Macaca mulatta: one gene and its partner. The protein of the gene in region 1 purifies or fractionates together with the protein of each later gene. This does not show direct contact. Links are inferred from orthologs where the notes say so. Each region holds a gene or a part of one and is shown on either strand. Other genes may lie near its edges. The genes, in order: RAB5A and CHM.

Region 1 (9,352 bases):
ATATCATGACAATACAACAAAAATATCAACAGTGATAAAATGACTCAGCCAAAAGTAACAGTGGTGATGGTAACTGTAATAGCTATAATTTAATAAACCTTTTACTCTGTGCCAGGCATTGTGGTAAAAACTTTAATCTGGATACAGTCTTCTTTCTTAACCACAATGGTTTATTCTTGAGAATTACTTGGCCATGAATTGTTAGGTAAAATAGTATGTTAATAATAAGTTTGAAACAAGCCTTGTTTTTCTTCATTTTAACAGTAACTTTTATTCCTGTTAGATGTTGTTTTAGAATAAAAACAACTAGTTTGCCATGCTAACCAATTTAGATGGGTGTTAAATATATAAGTAGAAACAGCACTTCACTTAGAGTTAATAACTGCAATAAATTTCTTTCTTTTTTTTTTTTTGAGGTGGAGTCTCGCCCTGTCGCCCAGGCTGGAGTGCAATGGCGCGATCTCGGCTCACTGCAACCTCCGCCTCCTGGGTTCAAATGTTTCTCCTGCCTCAGTCTCCTGAGTAACTGGGGTTACAGGCACCCACTGCCACGCCCAGCTAATTTTTGTATTTTTAGTAGAGATGAAGTTTCACCATGTTGACCAGGCTGATCTCAAACTCCTGACCTCGTGATCTCCAGCGTCAGCCTCACCCTCCCAAAGTGCTGGGATTACAGGCATGAGCCACCGCACCCGGTCAACAATGTTTTTAAAATTCCGACAAACACCGCACCTCAAAAAAACCCCACAATTATTCTGTGTATGGGAGAATCAATGTTAGTATCAATGTAAAATCAACTACTCAGAACACATAAAGCAGTGGTTCTCAAATTTAGCATGCCATCAGAATCATCTGGAAAACTTATTAAAACCTAAATTGTTGGTCCCACCCAAATGCTTTGATTCAACACGAGATTCTGCATTTTAACAAGTTCCTAGTTAATGCAGCTGCTTCTGGAAGTGGGAATGCTCTTTGAGGACCACTGTTCTAAGCTAATGTTCAAAAATCACAGAACCAGCAAGAGGAATGTTAATGTTTTCATGTACAGTTCCATTACCTAAACTTTAGAGTCTATAAGACATTTTTGATTAGTGCAAACAAAATTGTAACTGTGGTATGAAGCACTTTTCTCAGAAGAGAAAAAAAGGACTGTCTGCTTGTTATTTCACCGCATATTCTAACTACTGAGGATTAATTTGTTTATAAATATCACATAAATGTCTTCTTAAAAATAAATATTTCTTGAGAAGAGAAACTCACTAGGAATCTTTAAAGTTTTTTCAGGTATTCAAGGTGCTAAACGAAAGCTGGCTAGCCCTCATTCAACAAGTATTTACTGAAGAGCTCCTGAGCCTAGAGATGCAGTACCAAGCAAAGAAGGAAGACAACTCTCTGAGCCTACTGCTCCTTGTTAACTTCTCGGCTAACTTCAGACAAACAATAAAAACATAAATGTCATGCAAACTTTAAACCCCTACAAACAAGCTAGAACTCTCTAAATTGCTAAATCTGCTGCATGCAATTTCATCAAGAGTGCTATAGGGGTAAGATGCATGAAGTATGGTGAGGCAACAAGGATTCTTTTTTTTTTGGTTGAAACAGGGTTCTCACTCTGTCACCTAGGCTGGAGTGTGGGGGTGTAGTCTCGGCTCACTGTAACCTCCGCCTCTTGAGTTCAAGCAATCCTCCCACCTCAGCCTTCTGAGTAGCGGGGACTACAGGTGTGTGCCACCACGCCTGGCCAATTTTCGTATTTTTTGTAAAGATGGGGTTTCGCTATGTTGGCCAGGCTGGTCTCAAATTCCCGGACTCAAGTGATCTGCCCACCTCAGCTTCCCAAAGTGCTGGGATTACAGATGTGAGCCATCATGCCCAGTGCAACAGGAATTTTTAAATCAAGTTATTATATTTAGGAAGAACCACACAAATTACAGAAGAAATCTTGATATTCTTTCTTTGTGGATCCAGAATCCACAAAGAATGTAACATATGATATCCACCTTTGAACACAATCAAATAGAGATGAAAATTTTAAGTGAGTGCTTCAGAACAATAACTCAAGTCAGGAGATATAAACAGTAAAGTGAAAATTAAACAGCTGAGGCCAGGCATGGTAGTTCACGCCTATAATTCCAGCACTTTGGGAGGCCGAGGCAGGTGAATCACTTGAGGTTAGGAGTCTGAGACCCGTTTGGCCAAGATGGCAAAACCCTGTCTCTACTAAAAATACAAAAGTTCGTTGGGAGTGGTGGTGTGGGCCTGTAATCCCAGCTACTCAGGAGGCTGAGGCAGGAGAATCGCTTGAACCTGGGAAGTGGATGTTGCAGTCAGCCTAGATCATACCACTGCACTCCAACCTGGGCCACGTAGTGAAACTCTGTCTCAAAAAGAAAAAAAAAAAACCCAACAGTTGAAATGCAAAAGAGTTGGTTGGCTTCATTTTTCAGGTAACTTCTACTACCTGTCAGTCAAAACAAAAATACGTATTACCTGCAAGTTATAGACCTTTTGAGTTGATCATGAAATAGCTCAAACCTTAAAATTCTTAAATGTTTTACATCTACTCTAGCTCCTAAAGGTGAAAAGCTATGAGTACAGAGCATAAAAGAACAGTGTCCACAGCTATAATCATAATGGTACTGTCATACCTCCTGAATAGTATTCACATGGGGTCAGCACAGTGAAAAAGTATCCAATAAAGATTAACAGAAAGGCCACGGGCAGTGGCTCATGCCTGTAATCTCAGCACTTGGAGAGCCTAAGGCGGGCGGATCACTTGAGGCCAGGAGTTCAAGACCAACCTGGCCGACATGGTGAAACCCCATCTCTACTAAAAATACAAAAATTAGCCAGGAGTGGTGGCTTGCGCCTATAGTCCCAGGTACTTGGCGGGCTGAGGCATGAGAATCGCTCAATCCTGGGAAGCGGAGGTCGCAGTGAGCCAGGGCGGCGCCACTGCACTCTAGCCTGGGCGACAGAGACCCTGTCTCAAAAAAAAAAAAAAAAAGGATTAATAGAAATTTGGATGCAAATTCATTTTTGTTTTTAAATAGGAAGCTCTACAAATAGAAATGAAAATCTTTACGAAAAATTCATTAATGAAATCAAGACAATCTAACTGGTGTTACATGGACATTATATGGAGATACACACGTATCAGAGATATGTTTATGATACACAGGATATGGGTTATATTTTTCTTTTAAACACCCTTCTTGAGCTATCATTAGGAAAAAATAAACTTAGAAGTGGATTACCCAAAACAAGATAAAAATTCTAACCTTAAGCTCTTGCAAAGCTCCCCAGGAATTAAGTTCTATACTACAGTACTTCAGATTTTTTATTATTTTAATAAAATAATAAAGAGAGGAGAAAAGAGTAGCATATAGTAACTCCCAAACGTATTTGGCCCAGGTATTTAACCCAGAATGCATATATACTTTGGGAAATGCTGCCATTAACAGTAAAGTAAGTGGGTGTACATGATCTAGCATTCTTTAACCTTTTCCTACTGGACTAATTAGATTAAATTGTTAGCTTTAGATTAAATTGCTTCTGGAGGAAGCGAAACCTAGAGAAGCAGTATTTCATTATTAAAATGGATATAGTGTATTAACAACAACAACAAAATCACATGTGGATGTACCTTCAAGGAAAAAAAAGATCACAAAGGATGTCTAATATATTGTGTATTAACATTTTTTAAAATGTCAAGACTTCTGACTCAAAAGCTCCATGATGCTTTCTGATGTTCAGCAATTAGAAAAAACATAAAACATTCTAATATAACATTGTAACAAGATATACAAGGGCCAGGAGGCAGTAGAGTTCTGTAACTTATCTTACTAGAATGGGTCTAAGATTATGAATAACATTCTCAAGCATATTTGCTGAAGAACACTCACTAAATGCACAGTATGAAGTTTTGCTTCTGAAAGACAGATTCCAAGAAGTTGCCACATGCCAGCTGGTATCTACCTGTCTTATCTCCACAGTTTGACTTTAATTTTACAGGATGGGGTTAAAACATATATACAAATACCTCAGAAAAGAGCATTGCTTAATTATGTATCACTTGCAAAATATCGTGAATCTCAAACTGTGTCATTCTTCCCACATTTCATCTAATTGAAAAGCATCATTTCACAGATTAAAAGCATCATTTCACAGATTAAACAGCGGCCCAAAAGAGGCTCTCTTGTCCCACAGCTATATAATTATAGGTTTCTTTGATTAAAGTCAATTTTTTTTTGTTGTTTTTTTTTAAAGAGATGGGTTCTCATTGTGTTGCCCAGGCTAGACTTGAACTCCTAGGCTAAAATAATCCTGCCTCAGCCTCCAAATACCTGGGACTACAGGAATGCAGCACCACGCCCAGCTAAAATTCAATTTTCCCACTTCATGTCCTCTCTTGACAATACCGTACTGTTCGCTGTCTCCTTTTCACCCTGCATCTTACCTTCCCCTCATCTCTGTCGCACCATGACCACCTTGTCAGTGCCTATTTTTCCCTTCTCATTTCATCTTTTTCTTCAGGTTCCATTTTCCTGTCATGTCCCTTTCCATTAATCACTTTTTCTCTTCCCTCAGCTTAGGAGCATTCTTACATGTACATCTTAGCAGGGAGCACCTATAATCACAGCTACCTGGGAGGTTGAGAATGGAGGCTTACTTGAGGCCAGGAGTTCAAGACCAACCTGGAAACACAGCAAGACTGAGACTCTTAAAAAAAAAAAAACAAACTTGCCTGGCATGGTGGCAAGCACCCTTAGGCCCAACTACTTAGTGGGAGGCTAAGGCAGGATGATCATTTGAGCTGAGAGTTCCAGGCTGCAGTCTGCAGTGAGTTATGATCCGGACACTGCACTCCAGCCTAGGCAAGATTCCATCTCTTAAATAACAACAAAAAAAGTACATCTAGCAGTATTTAATTATATTTAATTAATTTTACAAATAAGTATAATGATTTACAAATAGTTCAGTTATATAGATCAGAATTTAAGGTTACTTTTTTTTACTATTCATTTTAAACCAATATAATTGAGCACAAACATGTACTGTATTAATTTGAAGAAGCTTCTACTTGTTAGCTAGAAATAGGTATCAGGTCAAGTCATATTACTTGAGACACTGATTCTACTCATGTTTTTATCTGTATTTTAGCGACAATATAACCACAAGGGATTAACCAAACAATCAAATGTAAAAACACATCATTTTCACAAAAATAAAGGCAAGTTTTAAAGCTTAAGGTAAGCTGAACAGCTCTTTTCTTCACTCTATGACTTAGCTATTCATAATCACACAATTGGAACATCAAAATACTTTGTCAACGTATGATTCGATTAAATGAAGCAGGGAAAAAAGAAAATCTCACCCCCAATGGTACTCTCTTGAAATTCATGAAATTGGCCTTTCACAAAACGAAGCACTAGGCTTGATTTGCCAACAGCAGACTCTCCCAGAAGTACTAGTTTGAACTGGCATATTTTATTTCCAGTATTTGGCCCGTTGGGTCTTGTTGCGCCTCGATTAGCCATGTCCAAATTTGAAATAAGTCCTTAATTTCAGATTCTTCAATGAACTTCCAGAATTCAAGGGGTCAATATTCTTCTTTCTGGAGGTAAAGAAACCTGTAAAGAAACAATTATGAATTAAATATACAAATCAGTAAAGCAAATTTACTATTAATCACTTTAAAATTTGCCTATAGCACGATTATCTTAAGCTCTACTAGACCTTCAATGTCACTATCTTTTAAAGGAAATTTAAAAGTATAGGATTTGAGCCCAAAATCATTTTTTCTTTTTTTTTTTTTTTTAAAGGCTAACCTCAAAGCTTCAACTTTGTGCCAGGCAGTACTTTAAGTACTTAACTTCTCAACAATCCTATAAAATGAGATATTATTACAATCCTTATAAATGAGGAAACAAGCACAGAGATGTTAAGAAGCTTAATTGAGGTCACATAGTTACTGTCACAGAAGTGACACACAGCTGAGTTTCAAACCCAGGCAACCTGAGAGATGACTTGAGTTCAAGTTTTGTAGCCAGGCTACTTGGGTTAACATTGTTTTGAGAAAAATTATGTTATTAATATATGGGAAGCTTTTAGAACAGATCCTAGAGTTTAGTATTATTTGAAGTCTTCTGTTAAACGACACATTTTTCATTTAATTAACGGTAATTTTGGACAACAAATATTTTCAGTATCCCAGGTTTGTGTGCCTAATGGCAGACAGACTTAAAACTGTTTCTTCATCTGCTCAAGTATACCATACACAGAAATGCTAACAGTTTTTCTCTATGTGGTGGGATTATTACTGACTTATTTACTTACACTAATTGCAACTTTTTTGTAGTTTTTAGACGAAAAATATGCATGACTTTTTTTTTTTATTAATTTTTTTGAGAAAGGGTTTTGCTCTCTCACCCAGGCTGGAGTGCAGTGGCATGGTCATAGCTCACTGTAACCTACACCTCCTGGGCTCAAGCAATCCTGCCACAACCTCCTGAGTAGCTGGGGACTACAGGCGCTCAGAACCATGCCAGGCCACTTTTTTGGTAGAGACACTGTCCTGCTATGTTGCCCAGCATGATCTTGAATTCCCGGGCTCAAGCAATCCTCCTGCCTCAGCCTCGCAAAGGGCTGGGATTACAGGTGTGAGCCACCACACCCAGCCTGCAGGCCATTATTTTTTATTTAAACAACACATTAAAAAAATCTAGCCTGAATGGCAACTTCTGTGCTAATTTTTAATCTCTAAGGAATTAGTGAATATTTGAAGAACCTTTTTCAATCCACTCACAAACCAATCTTAACAGTTTCCTTCTATCTTTAATCAAAATCCGAATATATGCTAATATATTAAACCTGATGATTCCCTCTCTAAAAACCCTGCTATATTTCACTTAGCTACCTCATGTAAGAAATATGTCTTTCACACTGGACACAGTGGCTTATACTGGTAAATTCCAACACTTGGCGGTTGAGGAAGAAGGACTGCTTGAGACCAGCCTGGGCAACAGTGAGACCCTGTCTCTATATTAAAAACAAAAGAAAGAAATACGCCTTTCCCATAAAATCAGTTTATAATATGCTCTTGATACTGAATTCCCTAACATGTCCACGAGATCTTAGTTCTTAAGGCAATAAAACTACCTCCCTGCCTTAACTAAACACCAGCTTTCTAGAGTCCTTATCTTTTACCATTACATTCTGAAATATGTACAGATTAATTGAGGTAATATCTGAGTTGCTTCTAAATAACGACGTATAAATAAAAATCCCCCTCCCCACAAACATACCAGACTTGGGGGTCTAATCCTGGCTATACCAATTTCCGCCTGGGCAAATTCTTTAATTTCCAAGTCTCTATTCCCATAATATCTAACTTGCATAGCTGCTGTGACAATTAAATGAAACAATACATGTAAACAATCTCTAATAAACATAGTAGGGATTGAAATTGTCAATAACGTGGTCCTTTGATAAGAAAATATCTAGAGAACATCATATGTACTGAAAATGCACCAATACATCTTCAGATATTACACAAGCAGTATCAATTAAAACATTTTCCATTTGTCTTTTTATCTACAAAAACACGAAATTACTTATCAAGGACAACATGCTCCAAATTTCTACGGTACTTTCAAAATTTCAGGCAAAACATCAGATTCCCATAAAAAAAAAATCAAACAAGATTCTGATTTCACTTTGACTTTTAAGGTTTAAAGTTACTTAACTGTGGCTACTCCCCTTGAGGATCTCAAACAGGAAATAACTAGAGTTAATAGTAAATACACACTTAGCATAACACGAAGGTTAAAAATTACGTGTATTCATTTGTATTCACTGCTTACTGACACTTGTTTTGCAAAACAAGAATTTTGCATAATATACATTTGTAATCTTTTGAAAATAACTGTTATTCATTCTATAGTTAAAATCCTTCTAAGTGTTCTTTGATCAAAAAATTGGGCACTTATTTTGTGCCAGGCACTGTTTCATGTACTTTGCTTACACAAATGCTGAGTTATCATTTCCATTTTACTTTAGGAATAAAGTTTATGAGCAGTCTTGAGTATTCCCAGAGATGTGCAAGTGTTTTTTTCTTATTATGTAAAAGGCAACTGATTGAACGCTTTGATTCCACTTAAGCAAGACAAAAACCAAGTATGTGAACTATGACGTTCAGAACTTAAAAGTTTGAAAGTCTCAGAGGTAAACAGCTTCCAGGAAAGATAACATCAGAACAAGTTTCATGGTCTCTACCCATTGAAGGAATTCAGCGGTCCTGTTATCTCGAATTTATTTAACGCTGTAGTTCACTACCTTCCATACATAAGACAAGAGTCTCTAGACGGCCCATTTTGACGAGTCTCCCACCCACCGACACTACACGTCTTTGGAAGTTGCAGGTAGGCGGAGCTCCCCACATTCACACCTGCAGTAGGCCCGGGTTCCTGCTTGGAGAGCACCTGAGTAGCTTATAGCCAACTCCAGATCGCCTGGATAAGCACCACTCGCCAGGTCCCTTGGCCTTTCCAACCTCCTCCCCCGAACCTGGCTGGCTTTGACCGAGACCCCCAGGACTGCCAGCACAGGGACCAGGCGGAACCGCGGCCTCCAGTACACTTTCCACGGCGCCATCTTGAGAAGGGAAAGGGTGACACCCGTCGCTCCCTCAGTCAGTCCCCAAATCCCGGTCTCCAGAGCCCCTTGAGGATGAGTCACCAGGGCTGGCAGAACAAGACGCCGGGTTCGATAGTTCTCTGGTCCAGGCTACTGCTGCGCATGAGGGAGAAGGGGCGGGGGTCTTAGTACCCGCAGGGCCGCGGACAGGCTGGGGATCGCGGATAACCTGGGGTCCAGACCCCCACTGCGCAGGGGGAGAGGCGGTTCGGTTACCTGAGACCGCAGCAAGCCGGGCTGCGGGGCCGAAGCTTCCTGGCACCAAGGCCCAGGCGTGGCCCGTAGGATGAGTGTGTGTCTATGGCGGTGGTGGTGGCGGCGGCGGCGCCGTCTGCTCTTCGCGTCGCTCCCCTCACACTGGACTGTGCGGGGCTCTTGCCGTGGTGCCGCCCCTGTCGGGCTCCGTCTCCGCCTCTCGCCGCTCCGCCTTCCTCTTTCCTTTCCCCTCCTCCGCCGCAGCCGCCGGCGCTGGAGTTCCGACGAAGTCTTCCTCCTCCTCCTCCCTCTGCCTCCTCCCCTAAGGCCAGCCGCCGGCGCCTTCACGAACCAAAACACAAACACTCAAGTCCCACCGCCGGAGCCACTTCCGCTGTCCGGTGTCGGCCCCGCCGCCACGTCGCCGCACGCAGCGAACTACGCCCTTTCGTCACTTCCC
Region 2 (9,851 bases), on another chromosome or scaffold:
AACACACTTAAATGCATCACCCACAGACCTCATAAAGCAACTAAACTATCAAGACTACAAAGAAACCAGCTAACATCATCACAACAGAAACAAAACCTCACTTATCAATATTAATCTTGAATGTAAATGGTGTAAACACCCAACTTAAAAGACACAGGGTGGCAAGTTGGATTACAAAAACAAGAACGAACATTCTGCTGTCTTTAAAAGACTCATCTCACGTGTAATGACACCCATAGGCTCAAAGAGAGAAGGATCTATCATGCAGATGAAAAAAAAAAAAAAAAAAAAAAGAGCGGGGCTTGATATTCTTGTATTAGATAAAACAGACTTTAATCCAACAACAGTAAAAAAGGACAAAGTGGGCCATTATATAATAACAAATGGTTCAATTCAGCACAAAGACTTAACTCTCCTAAATATACATGCACCCAGATTCATAAAATGAGTACTTCCAGACCCATGAAAAGACTTAGCCACACGATAATAGTGGAAGACTTCAATACTCCACTGATAGCATTAGATAGAACATCAAGGCAAAACACTAATAAAGAAATTCTGGATGTGAATTTGACACTTGATCAATTCGACCCAATAAACACCTATAGAATAATCCACTGAACAACCACAGAATATATGTCCTTCTCATCTGCACATGCTACATACTCTAAGAATGACCACATGCTGTGCTATAAGGCAAGTCTCAATACATTTTAAAAAAGTGGAAATCATACCAAGCATATTCTTGGACCACAGTGGAATAAAAACAGAAATGAATGCCAAGAGAAACTCTCAGCAGACATTTTTGAGTGACCATTTGTACCAGGTATTGGACTAGGTTCTGGGAATATAATGATGACCAATATGGGCATAGTCCTTGCCTTTGCAGATCTTACCTTCTAACAAGATGAAACAAGTAATTCCATAAGTAATCGGATATTTCCAATCATAAGTTCAACAAAGAGGGAATATAGGGTGATAGGGGACCTAAGCTAGACTGATGACTCAAGAAAGACTTGCCAGATTATGTGACGTTTCAAATTAACTGTAAAGGATGAGAAGCTACAATAAAGAGGGGCAGAAGGATAAAGGTGCAATTCAGGCACATGGAAGGGTATCAGTGAAGGCCCTGAAGTGGGGAGAAGCATGAGCACTCGAGGAAATGAAGGAGAGCTAATATGGCTGGAGCCTAGAGAGAGAAGGTTAAGAGGTATGAGACGAGACTGAAGAGTTAGGCAGGGCCTTTTAGGCTATGTTTATATTTTTGGAGTGTATTTTAAAAACAATGAGAAGTCATGAAGTGTTGTAGGTAAAGGAATAATCAGATTTGAGTTTTAAAATATTTACTCTGCCTTCAGTGGGGAGAATGGACTAGAGAGAAGCAAGCATTAATGAGGGGTCCAACTATAACCAATTGTAGTAGTCTAGGGAAGAGATTATGTGGGCATTCCATATTGAGATTAATTGATATAGTTACAATATATTTTTGAGGTAAATATGGCAAGTGTTGCTGATGAATTGGTTTAAGGGTGAAAGACAGTGATGTGTCAAGGATGATTCTTGGGTTTTTGACTTGAATAGCAGAGTAGAAGGTGGTACTATTTCTAAGACAGGGAATGCTGGATGAAGAGAAGATTTGGGAGCGGGATTCAAATGTTCAGTAGTTCAGCATTGGACATGTTTGGAAGAGATGTTCAGTAAGAGATTGGATATGTGGGTCTGGAACACAAAGGAAAGGTCCCAGTGATAGAGACCATTAAATTATGATTTGTATAACGATAACAGCCAGATTTCATAGTTGAGTAAATGTCTGAATACCAGGTAAGTGTTCAAGGAATCATGCTTTTTCAATTCAGGAAATAATTAAGTACAAAATTAGTGCCACAGTGATTTTAATAGAGTGGTCAATTTTTAGGTATCTGTTATCTCATTGTACTGTGACTTATCCCAATAAAATACTTAAGCTCTCAATAATAGATATCCTTAGAGTAACAGAATAGATGCAATTCAGCTGTTTTGCTTTATGCTTTTTTACTGTAATTATTGACTCCTATATTCATCTTTACTTTGCATAAAGTCTACAAAAATACATTCGAAAGAAAAGGTATTTGGAGCATTTTCTCCATGCACAAGATTGAAATTTTCCTAATGTAATAATATTTTCTATGCCCAGAAAAGGGCATGAATGAGTCCCGTAATGATTTTAGAGAAAGGACAGCAAAATAGAAGTTGTTAATATTATCCTTCTGAGGATCATGCTTTCTATCCTTAGGGGAAAAAAGAAAGTTTCAAATTCAGGGCAGCACAGATTGGAAAATCTATGCTACAGAGTAATTACTTGTTTATTTTGTTTTACCCTACTAAATGTAAACTTCATGAAGACAGGGGTCCTTGTCTATTTTGTTCATTGCTCTAATCTCAGCATCCAAAATAGTGTCTTGCACATAGTAGGTGTTCAATGAATATTTGAGGAATAAACAAATTAATGAATTGCATCTTCATGGTGTGATTGTCAGAAAATTTCTGAATTCCTAGAAAGAGATACTCATATTGAAAAGTATATGTATGTGGTTTATATATCTCATATACATGAACAAATGTATAGAAATATATATCCAAAGTATGGTAGAAATACTTTTATTTATCAGATTTTTAACCATCCATCTGTGGCTTCTATTAGAGAAGATTTTGGAAAGTTTCCTGTGTTTACTCTGAGAAATTCATTTGTTTCCATTTTCTACTGTCATATCAAGAGCCTCACAAATAATATCTATTTCACTTCTGATAATACTAAAAACTTTCTTTACATACCAAGCCAAATGACAGAGTGATTTACTGAACAGTGCATTATACTTCTCAGGGGAATCTCTTTTACAGGAAATACTAATCAAAGACCATATCATAAGAGAATTGTGTAATACAACTGGATGATCTATAAAAGAAATTAATGAAACATGTACAGTGTTGCTAATGATTATGGTAAAATGCAAGAGAAATGCAGTAAAAACCCATCAAAATATATTTTAAAGCATTTTCATGGAAATATTTACAATTAATGAACACTGAACATCTTCTAAATATAAGGCACATGATAGTGGTGGGCAGATATAAAGGCGAAGATGGTAAGCACTATGAGGACAGGGACTCATCTCATCCATCCATTAAGGGAGTCAAAATCAAGTTTGGTTTAGCAAACATTTATTAAATTCCTACTGTGCACCGGGCTTAGGTTAGGTGCGAGAGTGAAAAAGATAAACGAGACTTGGTGTCTGTCATACTGTACAGGGGTTTCTAATTATGGTATTGCATGTCTGCGTGTGTATTTTTGTGTGAATATGTGGGGATATGTGTACTCTATAGGAATCGACATAAATGCAAACTGTCGAAGCAGTACGGCAGGTTAAGACAAAGTCTAGCACCGTGTAGGAAAACAGCCCACACACGGAGATGAAAGGAGGAGGAGGTGGAAGCCCAACGACATCCTGGGAATAACTGTTAGCTAGAGAATGGGAAGATCATTCCACGCTGAGCATGAGTGTGGTCACAGATACTGGAAAGAAAACAATGTCTGGGGAACCACAAGCATTTTAGAGGATAGGTGGTATCGGGGAAGGCCCACTCCTGCACACTATCTTCGATTTATTTTGAAACTCTTGTAAAATAACTACACAAGAAATTTCTGTGATCAAAAAAGTATCCTGCTTCATTCCCAGCATCCTTCCCCTTTTGCTTTGGTGTTGTCAGACAGCGGAGTATTTTAAATGATAGGGGTCGGGGTAGGGGGCGGATGAAGGGAAGCGGTGGGAGGTGACAGACCTTGAAGATACTTATGAGAACTCTGTTAGCTGTTAGACATAGACGACCTAAAGTCCCTCGTCAAATACAATCACTTTAATATAAAGGCCATTTAACCTTAATTATTTCTACGGTAGCTTATGGAAACGAATAGATTGGAAACTAAATGTAAACTAAGGAGAATCTTGCATGAACTTATCTAGTTCGTGCGGAAAATCAAATTCAGACTCAACAAACGCTTATCCAGTACAACTATGGTTTCATATATTTTTTCCCTCTTATAAAACAAGGCTAATCTATTGCCCGAGTGGCTGTCTGGACTAATTAGAACAAATGCGGACGCGGTGAGAGTTCCATTCTGAAGAAACTAGGGTGAGAGGTTTTTCGTGGGTTTTCATTGAGGAGACATGGAAACGAAAAAGATATGGAATATATTTTGAAAGTATTGGTGTGAAAAACCGTGCCTCGAGGGCCAACACGAAAGTACAGACACGACGGCGGGAAACAGTTTTTTAGGCTGGATGAAAATCTCCTTTGTTCACAGAGCAAACCGCTTTCAATTTCACTCCGCTCTCCGTGTCTCCTAACAATTCTTGCTTCAGTATTGTCAAGGGGTATCCAAGTCTCCCACATTCATCCTAGCTAACGGAATAACAATCTACATTTCTTTCCTACTTCAACCCTCCAGGCTAAATGAGCTACAGCACTCAGCCTGGAAAATCAGTCGAGCTTTTAATTTACGTGTAAACATTTTAAATATAATACTGTAGTCGCCTGCCAGGACCTTCCACCCAAGAACTACACCACCCAGAATGCATTGTTTTCCTTTCCGCCTTCCACTGAGGGAATGCCTAACTTGATCTCATTTCCACAAGTAATAGTCACATGACGCGTTTCCCGTCAAGATGGCGGATACTCTCCCTTCGGAGTTTGATGTGATCGTAATAGGGACTGGTATGTGTAACCTGGTACTTCCTGGACAAAGTTTAGGAAGACTGTCTTGTTTCTATTTTTTCTGTGAGTGGCGAGTTTTGGGACAAACATCGTGGGTCGAGGGTGGGAGGGAGAACGGAAAGGAAGTGAGGTAGTCCGGAGTCAGCGCGGGAATTGGCAGTTACAGGGAGGGGCTTGGACCCGCAGTGCTTATCGCCATTTGAGTAGGGGTTGATCTGGTCGATGCTGATTGCTGAGGTTGGTTGCTGCGGTGATTCCTGTTAATTTCCTTAGAGGGAAGTGGATGTGCAGTGTCATGAAATGGAGGGTCGGGATTTTATCAACGGAGACGACTTTGGCAAGACATTATGATTCCTTCCTTATTGATTTCAAGGTGATATTCCCCATCATTTTGTCTCGCCATTTCATAGGACTTTTTCATAGATTTGTATGATCCTAGGGTACATCGCAGCTCAGGCACAGCTTAATCCTCAGTTTTACAAGAAAGATGATCAGTTATTGCCCATGTGCGTATGGATTTACTAGGGAAAGCAAACGGATTCTATTTTGTTGAGAAACCTAGGGAATTGTATTTTGTTGAGGTAGCCATTATTCCTGCTTTATGGTGCTTAAAGCATTTCTACCGCCCATAACTGAATGTGCTGAGAATAAGGTCCTGAGTTCCAGTTCAGGTGTGTGACCTTATCTAATTCTTTTCCCGTCGTTTGTTCTTCATGTTTTGGGTGGAACCAGAAACTCCTCTGCAATTTCTGTTTGACATATGCAGTGTACAACACGTAGCAGAAGACATGTGGCAGCAAATTCATTTTTTTAGAAAAATAGTGTAAGGGATGATCATTTTAGGTGGGATGAAATAGGTTGTTTGATGGGGTTTTCTACTGTTTGTAGAATGTGGTAGGCCAGAGAAGCTCTGGTGGATGGGACCCTGTCCATTGTGTTAATGAATTCAGTTCGTTGTCTTCTCAAACAGCCGTGATGAGGAGCAGCCATGTTTTCAGGATGGGAGTAAAAATAATAGCTACCTGTTTTCGAATGCTTAAAATTTCCTAATCACTGTGCTAAGCACTTTACAAGCCGGACATAATCCTCACAACCTTGTTAGAGTAGTAGGTACTCTCTGCATTTTGTAGAAGAGGAAAAGGGGACTTGGAAAGGTTGTAATTTGCTCAGGATCACACAGCTTGTAAATTTCCAAAGGCCCCTTCCATCCCAGAAAAACAATCCGTGGTTCTGATCCTCAGAGTTGACCCATATTCGTAGAAACAATTGAGAAAACCGAAAACCTGGTTTTAGGCCTTGCTTAGTGCTAGTGTGAATTGCTTGAATTGGGGCGGGGGGGGGGGGGGCGCAGGCACTACATCTCTCTGAGCCTCAGTTTCCTTGTTTTTGATATAGGGAAGGTAAACTAGATGGGGTTTATGTTGTCTAACAAAAAATGCCTGGGTAATAGTTCTCAGAACAGCACGGACCTGTTTATTCGTAGCCTGAAAATAACAGCATGGCTACAAATAACCTGGTTGTAGTTGCTATGAACAGATGTTGGATGAGAGCTGGAAAGAGCCAATGAACTATTCATTTGTTCTTTCCAGTCTATACTAAAACTGAGAACAACATCCATTTTGGAATAGTTGTTATTACCATACTTGAGATTTATAATCTTGCTTTTTTTGTTATGTAGGAACTTGAGGTGTTTTTAACAATTTTTTTAATCAACAATTTTTCTTTCAGGTCTGGGTTCAAATTTTAATTGATGAATGTTAATTCTTATGAATGATGCTAATGCTTTTCATAAATATTTTGCCTTCTGTACAGTTCAGATATGGAATACATCCATCCTGATGGAGTTTGTTTTGGTGGAGGTAGGAAGTTATAGTGAGTGAGCCAGAGAATTGCATCAGGTGACATTGCTTATATTTGGAAAAAGACTCATATTATATTTATCCCAGTGAGTGCAATATTATTTTTCAGTGTTTGGGAAGAACTTATTTGAAGTTAATCTTAAAACTGAAATTTTTCATATTGTTTATTGGTGACACATTCTAGGTTTTATCAAGCACATTGCTTAAATTTATGATATGTAATTTTGTTTTTAGGTACATCAAAAGTGTAAAAATTGAATAAAAGAGTCATTCCCCAAATAAACGATTCCAACAAATCAAAAGTGTAAAAATTAAATAAAAGAGCCATTTCCCAAATAAATGATTCCAACAATTCCAATCATTATTTATTTTTTAGCGCGCTTGGAATATTTCTCTTGTGAAATAGTTTGCTGAAAGTTGCCTTTAAAATGTTTGCTTTATTAAATGTATTACATTGAGTAAAACATAGAAAAAGCAGTGTTTCATAGATTCAGTTGTATTAACAAAAGTAGAAGCAATAATGCATGCATCAGAAACATGAAGAAATAGGCTATTAGATATACTTTTTAGCATATTTAGTCCTAGGTAAAATGTCCTAAAGGGACAATTGCTTCATCAAGTATAATCATGTGAAGATAATATTTTATAATCCCTTTGACCTTGATTAACTTGCATTCTCATTTTCTGTAATTCAAGATGGAAATTTTTCCTTAAGATCATATTTTCAGGAGATTATGGGAAAAATAAACTTTGTATTTTCTTAGTTAAGCCCATTTCCTTCTGATTAGAAAATACAGTAAATATCTCTTGAACACCCAAAGACAGAAGAGTAAGATAAAGTGAATTGTGGAAAAAATAGAAGAAAATGGAATAAAGAAGGAGGGTCAACTGGAGTCTCAAGGGAGAGGATAAAAATAGATATATGTGGTAAGGGTCTAGAAAGTGCTCCTCCATAGCTTGGGCACAGAATTGTCATTTTTCAGGATATTTTGCCATTTAAAAAGTCATTTAAATGACAGTTTTGTGGATTATAGACAAGTACCATTGGTTTCAGGTTAAAAATAGTCCCAGTAACATAACATCTCACTGGAGGTGACTTATCTGGCAGCCTGTGTAATCTGCAGCACAGCAGAGCCAAGAGCTCAACAGAAGAGCAGTCAAGATGGACGTTATAAGACCTATATGATAGTATTGAAATGCTTCATACATAGGGGAATCCCTGAGATCATCACTTAGAACATATTCATCCTCATTTTAAAAATAATTCTAGCAAGTTCAGCATATTAGAACCACCCCCTTAGAAGATACAAGAAATGTTATCAACTTCTGAAAAGACTATGTTTGGTGGGGGGTGCTCTTAGGCATATAAATGACAGTTTATATCTGTATAGGAAAGGGAAGAGAAAAACACATAAAATGCAAACTTAACATCAAACATCACAAAGCCCCGATAACATTTAGTGTAGTGACAGATATTCATTTTTCAGGTCATTCAACCCACGTTTATTGAGAACCTAGTCCCTTCCCTTGTGAAGTTTACTGCATTGCCTATTCTGAGGAACTTTTTGGGCTTCCTAACAGTCATATCCCCAAAGCTGTTCTTAAGACAATGTAGGCTTTTCATTGCATCCTTCTTTCTTTTTGAAGACCATACAGAGATTCAGCCTGCATTTTTTTTCCCTTTTTAAAAGCACACTGCTCACATCTTTTGGAGTTCTTCCCCTAAGATGGGCTGCAGAGTATGTTAGCTTAATTTTTCTCCTGAATAGGATAAACACATAGATTCTTTTGATTTAAAAGTTTTATTGTTAGCCAAGCATGGTGGCGTGGGCGTATAGTCCCCCTTACTCCATAGGCTAAGGCGCAGGCATCCCTTGATCCTGGAAGGCGGAGGTTGCAGTGAGCTTCAATGGTGCCACTGCACTCTAGTCGGGGAAACAGAGTGAGACTGTCTCAAAAAAAAAAAAAATAAATAAAAATAAAGGTTCATTGGCCAGGTGCAGTGGCTCACAACTGTAATCCCAGCACTTGGGGAAGCCGAGGTAGGTGGATTGCTTGCTCAGGAGTTAGAGACCTCAGCCTCCCAAGTAGCTGAAATGGGCAACACAGCAAAACTGTATCTCTGCAAAAAAATACAAAAATTAACTGGGTATGGTGACACATGCCTGTAGTCCCAGCTACTTGGAAGGCTGAGGTGGGAGGATTGCCTGAACCTGGGAGTTTGAGGCTTCAGTGAGCTATAGTTGTGTCACTGCACTTTAGCTTGGGCGACAGAGCAAGCCCCTGTCTCAAAAAAAAAAAAAAAGTTTTATTGCTAAAGATTATGGGGAAAGAGAAGGGATAACAAAGATAAACACGAGGGAAATTATAAGGACTACTGCCCCTAAATCCTGATTATCTTGCTAGATAGTGTTTAGCACCATACAGTAGTAGATGTGGCAGCATGGTATATGGTAATCACATGACCATTCTATTGTGTGATTTTTGGGAAAATTACAGAATTTCTTGCGACATCATTTAGTTCATCTGTAAAGTGAGATTTCAATAGTTGATCTTCAAGGTAGGGATCTACCAGCTCTAAAATTACCATTGTATATTTCTATTTATAACACCATGTCCTTGAGAAAAGGCTAAATTGTGTTCTGTGTAGTCTTTTTAAGAAGGAAGGTCAGTGTTTAATATACTTCAGAAATTTTCCTATAAAAATGGCTTATATGGTTTGGATATTTGTCCTGCCCAAATCTCATGTTGAAATGTTATCCTTATTGTTGGAGGTGGGGCCTGGTGGGAGGTGTTTGGGTCATGGGAGCAGATCCCTTATGGCTTGGTGCTGTTCTTGTAATAGTGAGTTCATTCTTGCAGGATCTGGTGGTTTATTTAAATTTTTTTTTTTTTTTTTTTTTTTTTGAGACAGGGTCTTGCTCTGTCACCCTGGTGGAGTGCAGTGGCACAATCATGGCCCACTGCAGCCTTAACCTCCTGGGCCCAAGCAATCCTCCCACCTCAGACTCCCAAGTAGCTGAGATCACAGACATGCACCACCATGCCTGGCTAATTTTTTTTTTTTATTTTTGTAGAGATGGGGTCTCCCTATGTTGCCCAGGCTGGTTTTGCACTTCTGAACTCAAACAATTTACCTGCCTTGGTGGCCCAAATTGCTGGGATTACATATGGGAGCCACTGTGCCTGGTCGACTGGTTGTTTAAAAGTGTGTGGCATCTCCCCACACTCTCGCTTGTCTTG

What was found.
Region 2: the proteins of RAB5A (region 1) and CHM purify together in Homo sapiens (affinity purification with mass spectrometry; 3 studies listed by BioGRID and IntAct, counting the BioPlex papers as one, with this or other methods). This does not show direct contact. The link is inferred for Macaca mulatta from reciprocal best matches to the Homo sapiens genes RAB5A and CHM.

What each region holds. Positions count from the first base shown.
Region 1 is NC_133407.1:28,605,278-28,614,629, forward strand, and holds the start of RAB5A (ras-related protein Rab-5A), read right to left. Parts: upstream 9,309-9,352; 5' UTR 8,914-9,308; intron 5,634-8,913; 5' UTR 5,541-5,633; coding exon 5,378-5,540; intron 1-5,377. UniProt on the Homo sapiens protein: The small GTPases Rab are key regulators of intracellular membrane trafficking, from the formation of transport vesicles to their fusion with membranes.
Region 2 is NC_133426.1:92,463,276-92,473,126, reverse strand, and holds the start of CHM (rab proteins geranylgeranyltransferase component A 1), read left to right. Parts: upstream 1-4,674; 5' UTR 4,675-4,700; coding exon 4,701-4,812; intron 4,813-4,926; exon of another isoform or gene 4,927-5,122; intron 5,123-9,851. UniProt on the Homo sapiens protein: Substrate-binding subunit of the Rab geranylgeranyltransferase (GGTase) complex.